3 linked regions of the Tamandua tetradactyla genome follow. The protein of the gene in region 3 purifies or fractionates together with the protein of the main gene of each other region. This does not show direct contact. Links are inferred from orthologs where the notes say so. Each region holds a gene or a part of one and is shown on either strand. Other genes may lie near its edges. The genes, in order: JUP, CTNND1 and CDH5.

The links.
Region 1: the proteins of CDH5 (region 3) and JUP purify together in Homo sapiens (affinity purification with western blotting; 3 studies listed by BioGRID and IntAct, with this or other methods). This does not show direct contact. The link is inferred for Tamandua tetradactyla from reciprocal best matches to the Homo sapiens genes CDH5 and JUP.
Region 2: the proteins of CDH5 (region 3) and CTNND1 purify together in Homo sapiens (affinity purification with western blotting; 3 studies listed by BioGRID and IntAct, counting the BioPlex papers as one, with this or other methods). This does not show direct contact. The link is inferred for Tamandua tetradactyla from reciprocal best matches to the Homo sapiens genes CDH5 and CTNND1.

The regions. Positions count from the first base shown.
Region 1 is NC_135332.1:25,405,182-25,408,925, forward strand, and holds the start of JUP (junction plakoglobin), read left to right. Parts: upstream 1-945; 5' UTR 946-1,125; exon of another isoform or gene 1,126-1,131; intron 1,132-1,570; exon of another isoform or gene 1,571-1,732; intron 1,733-1,741; exon of another isoform or gene 1,742-1,871; intron 1,872-3,744. UniProt on the Homo sapiens protein: Common junctional plaque protein. The membrane-associated plaques are architectural elements in an important strategic position to influence the arrangement and function of both the cytoskeleton and the cells within the tissue.
Region 2 is NC_135335.1:19,845,458-19,849,201, forward strand, and holds the start of CTNND1 (catenin delta-1), read right to left. Parts: upstream 2,540-3,744; 5' UTR 1,863-2,539; coding exon of another isoform or gene 1,818-1,862; intron 1-1,817. UniProt on the Homo sapiens protein: Key regulator of cell-cell adhesion that associates with and regulates the cell adhesion properties of both C-, E- and N-cadherins, being critical for their surface stability.
Region 3 is NC_135342.1:59,935,551-59,939,294, forward strand, and holds the start of CDH5 (cadherin-5), read left to right. Parts: upstream 1-1,196; 5' UTR 1,197-1,296; intron 1,297-3,744. UniProt on the Homo sapiens protein: Cadherins are calcium-dependent cell adhesion proteins. They preferentially interact with themselves in a homophilic manner in connecting cells; cadherins may thus contribute to the sorting of heterogeneous cell types.

The sequences.
Region 1 (3,744 bases), on a different chromosome or scaffold from region 3:
CATTTTATGCTTATACTGTCATTCCACCAAGAGAATCTGTGGCTTGGTGCTCCTTGGAATTAGAAGAAAGGGCTTCTGGCTTAGGATGTGCCACTTTCTAGTTCTGTGACCTCTCTGAACCTCAGTATCCTCATCTGTGAAATAAAACATAGTTCTGCTGCCCTAACAATTTTTTAGAATTGTATTGAGAATTAAAAAAACATATAGTTAAAGTCTAACATTTAGTTCTCCAAGTGCTATCACAAATCTTACTTCTTTTAACTTCCACATACTCCAGTGAGATGGATATAATTAATGTACCCATCTTAGACATCATATAGCTAATAAGTGGCAGAATCCAAATCCAGGCCTTCTAATTCTAAATCCCATGAGCATGGCATCTTTTGTTGGGGAAAAATCCCAACCCATCAAAAAACTCTCAGAAATGCGATACAAATATTTTATTACTACTTTGGAACAAGGGTGAATAAGCCCAAAGAAGCATCATGCTTGACGCTGAGTTGGCTGGTAGCTGAGTTGGCTGGCCGCTGAAGGCGTCTGTCCTTTCCCAGGGCGCTCCCTGACTCACCTGTTGGACAGGTAGGGGGGAGAGTAAATGAGTCTTACCTGCTCAGAGCTAGGGTGGGGCAAGATACACCCCATTTCTCCCATTGGTCTTTCCTGAGTCTTACTGACAACCCCTTGCCCAATCAGGAGGAAGTAACCTTTTATTAGCCAGTAGGTGCGGAGTTAGGATGGGACCTGAAGTTAAGAGTCAGTCCCCAGAGCCGACTGGCAGTCCCTGGGGCCAATGGCGAGCGGATAAACAGAGGCGGCCGTGGTAGAAAACTGGGCGCGAGGCTCCGCCCCTCGCTGGGACTGTCAGGCGCGGCAGCCAGTTAACTCGCTTCAGCGGGTGGGCGTTTCCCTGGGGGGCGGAGCTTCAAGGGGGCGAAAGGCGTGTCTTGGCTGTCAGGTCCCTTCGCCTTTTGTTCGGTTACTGAGTTGCTGCCTTGGCCAGAGTCCGGAGCAGCCGCCGCCCGAGCGCGCCGAGTTCAGTTAGCTTCCCGCGCCGGCCCCGATCCCGGCCCGTCCCCGACCCTGCCCGGCCAGGTTTCATACGCAGGTGCGGACGATCGGGGGCAGGTATCACTGGGGAGAGAGAAACGGCGGCTAGGGACAGGGAGGCCGCTCCCAGCCTACTCAGGGCAGGTGAGGGAGGGCGGTAGGGGGGCGCCACCCTGCACCAGCGGCAGGGGGCGCGCTGGGACCTGGGCGCGGCGACTAAAGGGGCGCGAGGTTTGGTCCGAACGCGACTGGGACTCTAGGAGAGGGAGATGTGAGAAGGGCTGGGAGGGATCAGGGCAGGTGCCTCCCGGGTCGCGCTCTCGTCGGGGGCCGCAGAGCTTTCCCGACGCCGGGTCCCTGCCTCTCTCTCCGCGCCTTCCGAGCAGGCTTTGGCCAGCTGTGCCTGGGTCCCAGGTCGCACTCACTCTACAGTGGGAAATTTACTGTTTGGGAAACTTGCTGTCGCTGGTCTCTTTGGGGCCACCCTCACCCCACCCCACGCGTCATCCTCGCTTTCCCTCCCTCCTTCCTCCCCCAGGCCTGGGTGGGGCCCTATTGTCTGCGCCCGGCTTGCCCAACTCTGGGGGCCGAACACACATTTTCTCAGCGACGCGGTCCCCACCTGCCGAGCAGGTGAGCGCAAGGAGGCCAGAGGCCCTGCCCTCCCACTCCCGGAGCCCGGTCGGTACTGTACCTGGGGCACCTCCCTCCGTTCCGTGGGCGCTGGGCTACGGCTTCCCAGGGGAGACGAGATGGGGTGACCGTGGGGCTGTGCAGGGTCGGGTCTGCGCCAGCTGATGTTTGCACCCGCGGCTCGGCTCTGTCTGGGTGGAGGGGGTCTGTGTTTGGGAATCTGAGCAGAGAGGTCACCTGGCCCAGTTTCCAGTAGCTGTGACTTCCAGAATGTTAATATGGAAACAGGACTACCCTTCTTCTCTAACATCTTATTATTGGAAAAATCACTCAAAGCAAACTTTCTAGGAAGAAGTATTCATTGCTGCTTTCTCTGGGGGTTTTCCTGTCTCCTTGCCCAGAACTACCCCAGGCTTCTGGGGTCCTTCTTGCAGAGGGCAGAGCCCCTCCCCCAGCTGGCCCCAGGCTGGACCAGGGCCAGCCCTGTGCTTAGACCCTGTCCTCCCCAGCCCAGCCTCCATCCTGTTTGCTGGGCCCCAGGGGCCTGAGGTGGGGCCTGGGGTGGGGGCTGTGGGCCAAAAGGGGAAGCAGCTTCTTCCTTCTCTTCCTGCCTCCTGGGACCACCACACCCCCTCGGAGGAGGCTTTCCTTCCCGAGCTCTGGGCACCCCCATCCCAGGAATGGGGGGTGGGGCAGGTCTGGGCCAGACTGGGAACGGGGATGGGCTGTTCTTGTCTTTTTCTTTCTCCACCCATCCCTCATGCTCTTTAGTTGCCTGGTAATTGAGGCAGAAGAGCATGGAGCAATGGGTCTTGATTTCTACTTGATTTCTGAAGTATAAAGGTACATTCCTTCTGGAAGCTTTTGCAGCCCTTTTACCACCCACCCCACCTTCCTGCGAGATTTTGATGGCGAAAGTGGGACAGGAGGAATGCTTTTGGAGGGAAGTTTGTTCGACACTAGGCTCTCTGGAGCAGAGTCCCCTCCGAACCTCTTCCCCCTATTTCCTGAGGAACGTCTCCCAACTCCTGCACCCAAGCTGGATATTTCAACCAGGCTTTCCACGCTGCCTTCTAAAAACCCGAGGTGTGGCTTTTTTACAAGTCCAGCAGTCCAGTCCTTGGGGGTGGGGTGGGGATATGTAAGACCCATCTTTCCCTCAGTCCTAGGATCGAAGTGGGGATTAGAGGGGAGAATCCCAGCTGCTTACCCAGGCCCGCTTGGGAAGATGCCACCGCCTTGTTCCAGGCTGTGGATGGAGAGTTGGAGGAGGGGGTCTCAAACCAGTAACTCAGCCCCACCTCTTCCCCCAGGGCTCATTCCTGTGCAGTAGTCCGGGCTGGGGAAGGGACTGGTAGGGAACTACACCTCTTGGGAGCCACAGGGGCCTGGAGTTTGGGCAAAAATATCCTGTTTTCGCTTCTCCTCGCAGTGCATTGGTGGAGGAGGGGAAGGCATTGTAATTACATTGGCCGGATGATTCGTTTAGGTAATCTGGTTTGGGGCCTTGATGAAAAGATAATACTCAGGACTATTGCTAGGAGGTGCTTGTGAAAGCTGGCTATTTGCTGGAGGGGAGGAGGAGGATATTAGAGGAGGGAGAAGGAAAGAAAAGGTAGGATTGGATTAGTCATTTCTTGCTGGATCAAGCCCCAGCTTGGGTGATAGGAACCCTTTCCACTTGCCCCCGCCCCCCACCCCACCCCCAGCTCCACCTTCTAGCACCCTGCTTGGGCCGCCAGGACTGAGATTTTGAGAATGCTGTGAGTAGGAATCTAGGAGGTCAGGCTGGGGCTGGGCTCTCGCTGCAGGCCCCTGGAGGGAGCACAGACGAGGGGAGGGGCTCTGCCGGCCCGGGAGCTCTTGGAAAAGGAGACAGCCACGCACTGGCCTGCTGAGGGGTGGTTACTGGAAAAGGCATTTCAGTGGGGTAAAATTCTCAGCACAGGGATTTGGACTTTGCCTGAGCTAGGCTTGAATCTCGGCTCTGTCACTCATTACTTATGTGACCGTAGTCAAGTCGTTTCCCTTCTCTGAGTGTCAGTGACCTCTTTGACAAAATGA
Region 2 (3,744 bases), on a different chromosome or scaffold from region 3:
AAAAGACTAGTTTCATCTGATTATTTTGATTACCCACAGTGAGTCAGGTCCTGGTGTAGATGTCAAGGATAATAAGATAGACATGTTTCCTGCTCTTATAAAGCTTACATTCTAGGATGGGGAGAGAAGATTAATAAATAAGTAAGATAATGTCAGATGGAATGCTATGCGGAGATTTAAAACAGATTGATGAGACTCCCTTGAGGCTTACTCTAGATAGGATGTGAAGGACAAACCCTCTGAAGAGGTGACTTTTAAACTGAAATCTGAATGATAAGAGGCCGACCATGAGAGGATATGAGCAATGGTAACTGCAAATGCCAAAGCCCTGAGGTGTGGGGCTGAAAATACTGCGTTGGGCAGAACTTGTCAGAAACAAGGATGGAGAAATTGATGAGGATCAGAGTATGAAGGGTTCTATAGGTCAGAGTAAATAATTTGGATTTTATTCTTAAATAGAGGAAAACCTGTGGGGTTAAACAGAATAATTACATGATCTAACTCACGTTTTGAAAAGATCTGGCTGCTTATGTGACAAACAGATTAAAGAGTGGGCAAACAGTGAAAAGCAAGCAGACAAAGGCTGTTGTAGGGGTCAAACTGCAGTGTTGGGGTCTTGGACTATGGTGATAGAAGTAAAAAAAAAAGGAGAGAAGTTAATGGGTTGAGGATATATGTTTTAGAGACACAGGGCTGTTTTTGTTTGAGATGCTTCTTTTCTCCTTTTCTGTCTCTGTTTCTTGTTTTGTTTTTTGTTTTTAATGCACGAAATATTTCAGCCAAAGCTTGGTTTTGCAACTCTCAAAGCTTAACTCCCCCACGCACCACCATCACTACATACATACATACACAGAAACACAAGATACCATAAGATGGTGAAAAATTAGGGGAGAACTGAGAGAGTGGGAAAAAGGTGTTTAAAAAAGAAATATTAGGGTGAGCCACAGTGGCTCAGCAGGCAAGAATGCTTGCCTGCTATGCCAAAGGACCGGGGTTCGATTCCCGGTGCCTGCCCATGTAAAAAAAAAAAAGGAATATTAAGGTTATTACACAGGGCAAGGTGCTGTGCTGTATCTTCTAAAATAAACTAAAACTAGAAAGGCCAAGGAGTGGAGATAAAAATAATTCAACTTCAAAAAATCACTGGCTATCCCCGTAAAGGAAAACAAAATAGTTTTACTCCTCTCTACCCTCTGGTAGCTACACATTACTATGTGTAATGTGTAAAAGTTTGTCATTTTGGAAGCCCTGGGTAGGACTGGCATTTATCATTCCCTTTAGAAATTCCACCAACACAAGATTTCACTAAAATGATGTTAGATTCAAAATAAAAACAAAAACTGATTCCTCCCGACTTCTTGAAAATTAATTTAATAGTGATGGAAATATACCCATAAGGGGATGTAATATTTATATTTTCTTTACAACTTCCACAGAATCACATATACTGATCCTCTGCCAGCCTAATCAAGTTTTGATTCTGACAGCAACAGAGGCCAAAAACAAGCATTGTTCTTCTGCCTTTCTTTTGGGGGTGTGTGCTGCTGACAACTGCTAAATTCCGCTAAGTTTTATGTCCTTTCACAAACTGCTTCCTCACCAAACTGCAACCGACAATGTCTTCTGTTCCTCCTTTCTTTTTCCACCCTAAGAGCAGAAGCCTCAAACTAGGGAAAAATACCAACCACTTGACTTAGAAATATCCCTTCCCACCGCCTCAGCCCTCCCATATGTCAGTGTGCCACCCCCAATCCTTTTTCAAAAGGGATTCGATATCGATCCACTTAAGATCTACTTGAGCACACTTCACTACTCACCTCTCTCTGGTCTGTGCTTTTCCAGGTTCCCCTTCTCTTGGACATCTTCCTTTCCTGGGCCTCGGTGGCGGCTGCTCGGTCGCAACTCACCACGCTTTGTCACCAGGGGTTTTGGACTCGGCCATGTGCATCTAGGGCTGGACGCCACGGGACATGCACCGAGGGACGATACCCCAGACCAGGATCCCGAGCTTCACTCACACAAGGAAACCGCTGGCCAGGAGCTTTCGCACGCAGCCTGTCATTCCGTGCAAATGCTTAATCCTGAGATCATTTCCTTTTGAGGACCAGTCCTGAAAACACCTATTCCCAGACAGACACTGCGCTACACAAATCACCTCTGGAGGAACCACGCCTGAAGGGAATTTCGGGCAATCCTCTTGGTCACCAGTTCTCCGGGGGCCGGGGCTGGGAGTAGATTCAGTGAAACACTCGAATTCAAAACTAGCCCAATGACCTTGTTCCAGAACATTCCTGGCCTTGGGAAAGGAATGTCTGAGCTAGAGGGATGCGGGCCGATGTGTGAGAGAGAGACCACCAAAGACTTTTTCCTCCATGAAGCCCGCAGCCCTTATAGCAGCCTCTTCCAGGGGGAAGAGGGAGCTGTCCTTCAACCGCCTCGGGGCCTGTGACCCTCTTTCCTGGGTGTCCTCCTCGAACTCAGAGAACACGACGGCTTCCCTGAGGGTTCCTCCCGAGCTGGCCCTGGCCATACGTCTCTCCTCAGCCCTCAAGTCCCTCGAGAGTTAGCCTCCCGCCCAAAGCTCTCCTCCTCCTGTGATTGGCTCTCCGTGGAACCTCCAGCCAATGGGGAGGACGTACTCAGGCAGACGTAGGCCGGCTTGGGGGGGGCGAGGACGTCGTCCCCCGCGACGCTCCTCACGCGAGGTAGGCGCGGCGCGTGACTCGTGGTCTCGCCGCGTGGCCTCGGGCGCTAGCTGTCACCGCTGCCCGGTGCATGTGGGCACCGTGGCCCGTGGCCGTACGAACGCACCAGGGAGTGACTGCAAACCCCATGTGGCCTCGAGGTGGCAGTGAGGGCGAGCCCTGAATCCCGGCCCCCAGGATCACCCACGCTCCATTCCCAGAAACCTTCGCGCGCCGAGAGGTCTGTCTTCAAAGGAGTTGGGCCCGGGGCGTGCGGGGCGCCCAGCTTTGCAGGGCCTTTCCTGAAGCCCCGTGCCGGCAACCCCGATTCCCTTGGTTCTGGAGGTGGAGGGGCACTGCCCCGGCCGTCGGCCTACCTGTGATGCTTTGCTAAACCTTTCTGCGGAGAGGCTGGACTTTGGGAGGCAGCAGGGCAGGCTGGACAGAGGACCCAAGCACAGAGAAAACGGCAAGAGTAACTCCTACTGCAGATCGATTCCAGGTTAGGCCTGGGGACAAAGCCGTTTGTCCGTGGGCTGGAAAGCTTCCCCAGGGCCTAGGTTTGGGTCCTTGGGATAGCTGCCAGATCAGTTGGCTTTGATCCAGTTGGCTCTGATCAGTTGGCTCTGATCCGAGTTGCCCTATCCTTTCCTGTCCACTCTTTTCTTTCCTGACAGTTCTGACCTGAAGCATTAGAACCCTCGGTGCCACCTGACAGAAAACTGCATGCCAGTAAAGGGACACAGCTGTGCAGTGAGTGTGGGAATTTCAGTGCAACCAGCTGGAAAAGTAGGAATCCTGAAGTCAGGATTTGCAGTTTGTTTGGGGAGGGATAGGAAGCTTAACTATCCTTGCCCCAGGATAGTTAATTCACCACTAAGGAACCTTAAGGCCAAATTATTTGCCAGTTTCCAGTGTCATTTGGGTTCACTGTGTTCAGGAACCTCTGAGCCAAGAGTAGCCAGTGTTCTTATTTCTGTGGGAGACCTTCCACCACGTCCAGCAAGGCTTCTCTTCTTTTCTGTGCACCCTCTGCTGGTTAACGTGATTAGAGACAAGA
Region 3 (3,744 bases):
AGAGCTCCTGTCCAGGCCCAACCCCGCCGGCGTATCCAGCTGCCAACCTGCCCTCTCCCAGGGGACGTCTCACAAGCATCCTCAAGTTAACATGCCCAGAACAGAAAAATCTATATCCCCTCCCCGCCCCCAAACACCAATTCAGCCCATCCCGCATCTCCATACAGTCCTGGGGCCGGGCCCCCCTCTCAGGGCCTCTGTTTATCCAGCTGTATGATGGGACAAGCTCAGGATTTCCCACCGTTCATCTATGGAAAGCCAGGGGCCTCTAGGCCAAGGACAGATTCCCAGGGCCTGGCCAGGGAGATTCCAGATCAGCTGGTTGGGGGGAGGGAGCGGCAGGTCTAGGTACCTGTGGTTTCTAAAAGCCCCCAGATGGCTCTCACAGCTAACAGAATCTGGACCTCCACTGCACCCCCCAGGCCCCAGGCAGGCACCCCTCCCACCCTCAGCATCACTATGTTCTAAGCCCTGCTCTGATTCTTATTTATCCCAATAACCTGTGAAGTTGAGGCATATATATATATGCCCATTTTACAGATGAGGAAGCTGAGGCTCAGGGAGGGGTACTACTAGGCCATGGAACACCAGAAGCAAAGCCAGTACGCTTGGCTCCCACCCAATATTACTAAACCCCAACAGTGGTGGGCGCCTCAGAGCTGGCACTCACCCCCATCCCCATCAGGGGCCCACCGGTCTCTCCAGAGCCAAAAGTGGCTGTTTCCTGCCTCCCACTCACCCCAACCCTGAGGCCCCTGAACTCTCCCCATTGCCTGGAGTCACCCCTCTTCATTCCCCTGCTCCCCAGCATATCCTAGGTCCCAGAAGAAGTCTCAAGCTTGATTTGGAGCTCTACGTTACCCCAGCTAGGTGGACAAGCGTCCTAAACTCGCTGAGCTGTAAATCGAGGGTGAGGATTCCTGCATTCAGGGTGACAGTGAGGGTTAGGCCAGGCCCTCGGCAAGTGCCGTGCTTGGACTCCGGAGCCTGAAGTCTGGAGGTGGGGGTCTGAGTTCAGCTCCCTCAGCCAGGTCCCAGGCTCGGCCTCGGGGGGACAGCCCGGCCGGGCCTGCCTATCTGCAGCCAGCCCCGGCTCACAAAGGAACAATAACAGGAAGCCATCCCAGGGGGAAGTGGGTCCAGGCCAGCTGGAAAACCTGAAGGGGCGGCGGCCCGGCCTCCCTCGCCGGGCCGGGTGTGGCTCCCCTCGAGAGGCGGTCGGCCGAGCTCCACAGCACACACAGCCCAGGACAGACGGTCAGACAGAACAGAGGCCCTGCTCGGCCCCCAGGCACGGTGAGTGAGGGCTTCCCGCACCCCACCCCACCCCCAGCCCAGGATGGAGGCTCCTCAGCTTCCCGATCTGTGGAATGGACACTGCTGGGTTCCCCCAGGGCAGAAGGGGCCTCCCCAGGCTCAGCTGGGAAGGGTGCCTGCCGCAGGTACACACAGCGGTTCTAGGTGCTGGGGGGGGGCGCATTCAGCCCACCCACAGATGGGCTCCCCAGCTCGGCGTGGTCCCCGGGGCCCACTGAGCCTCGAAGACCACTGGTTCTATTGGTGCCCAGAGAGAATGGGACTGTCCCCGAGTCACCGGGCACACCAAGGGTAGAAGACTGGCACCCAGGGCCTGGCTTCCCCGTCCCTTCCTTCCCCGACAGGAAAGGATTTACCTCGGCCTGTAGCCCCGTTCACTCCCTCCCACTGGTCTCAGGTCTGCACAAGGATGGGCGAAGGAGCCCCAAAGGGGGAGCTCTAAGCCTCAGCCATCTCTACTAGCCAGTGCCCCTATTTTCAGGATAGGCAAGCCGAGGCTCAGCACTGAGCTCCTGAGGCCCTACCTGTGGTTTCTCCCTGCCCCCAACGCCACAGAGGTCCCCTCAGGCCATGAGAGCTGCTGTCAGGAAAGCCGCCCACCCCTACCCCTCCCCCCCCAAAGTGCAGATCCCCAGGGCTGGGGCCTGAGGCCCTGTGGCCTCACTTCTCCAGGAGGCCCGGAAGACCTGCAGGGCCCCAGCTTGGGGACAGTGGACCTGGGAGCAGAGCTCAGCCTTCCCCTCACTTCCCCCAGGACCTCGGGAAAGTCACCTGAAGCCTCCAAACCTCAGTCTGCTTGTCTGAACAACAGAGAGACAGACTCTTGTTGCAATCCATTGTGAGAACTAGAGGTGACGCCCACCGAAATGGGGTTCGTTATTTTACTATGATCAGCCTTCTTGGTGGAGGCAGCAGAGCTGTGGAGACGTAAGAAGTGGAGGGGGATTCGAACTAGAACCCTAAATTCAGGCTTCTTCCAGCACCCCGTAGCTTCTACAAGTCCGTTTTCTGTAAAACGGAGGAAAGAGTCTTTTCAGGAGTCAGTTAAATGATGGGGTGCTCAGCCCCCCGCATGTGAGTAGTGCACAGAAGGGGGACCTTTAAGGAATCGTGGCTGGTGGCTGGCATGGTTGTGAATGTTGTAAAGGTGTTTTTGGCACCTGAGGCACGGCCCAGGGTGTCGTGACTGGTCCCCAGGCCCGCCCCTGGCAAGGGGGTCGCTGGGAGATGCGGGTGAGACGCTGGCCAGTCACCCGTTCCTTGGCAGGCACTTCAGGAGGGCAACTATTCCATGCCCGGCCCTGTACTCAGCACCCACCTTCATCCTCCGGAGGGGGCGAGGGCAGGACACGGTTCCTGCCGCGTGTGCTGGGCATATAGGATCTGGCAGGAGACAAAGGGCATGCCTGGGGAGCCGGGAAAGCCCAGGCCGCTGAGAGGACTCGGGAGTCTGGTGTAGCCAAAGTGTTCTTTAGACCAGGGAGAGAGGAGGCAGGACTGGTGGCACTGCAGACCACACATGCCAGGACCAGGAGCTTTGGTTCACCCTCCAGCCCAGGCAGCCATGAGTGTCTCCTCTGCCCGGCCTGCACCCAGCTCACCTGTAAACCCCCACCCTGGAGGGCAGCAGGTGCCCCTCTGAGGGTCTAAGGAGCTGCTGAGCCCCCAAACAGCACTGCCAATCCCAGCTGATGGGGAAGAAGTGTCTACCGCCTGGGAAGGGGTTAAGCTGCCTACGGTCTCCACCTGACCAATTGTGCTGCTGAACAAGAGCCGGACATGAAGGCAGGAAGCTGCAGGGGCCATACGTATTTTCTCCCAAAGTCGGATGACTCATAGCTCTGCTGCTGGCCTGGGGACGCACAGTGGACACAGCGGCCACCAGCCCAGGAAAATTCTCAGGGCTCTTGCCTGGGTGGACCCATCCCTCCTACTTCCATCACCTCTCTGCAACCCCAGGCATGCCTGCAAGAAGTTGCATTTGACAGATGGGACAGTCTGAGGCCACACGGCTAGTACAAGGCGGGAGCAGGACACAAATGAGTCTCTGTCCCTTCTGACCCCACAGCCATTGCCACACTCCCAGATGGAACTCAAAGAGAAAGAAAGTCAGGGAAACATGAACCTGATTGTTCAGGCCACAGAAGCAGGCAGGAGGACGAGCCAGGAACCTGACGATGCTGAGGAAGGAATGTCCTAGGGGACTGGGTCTGCACACAGGGGCTTGGGGTCTGGCTAAGGAGATGACAAAACACCATGCCAACCCAGGCCTAAGCTGGTGTCACATGGAGAAATCACAGAGGGCTGCCTGGAGGAAGAACAGGAGCTTCAGATGCCATGGGGCCTTGGACAGCCCTTCCACACTCTGGGCCTCAGTTTTCCTATCTCTCTAGAGCAAGGGATGGACCCCAAAGTTTCTAAGCTCAT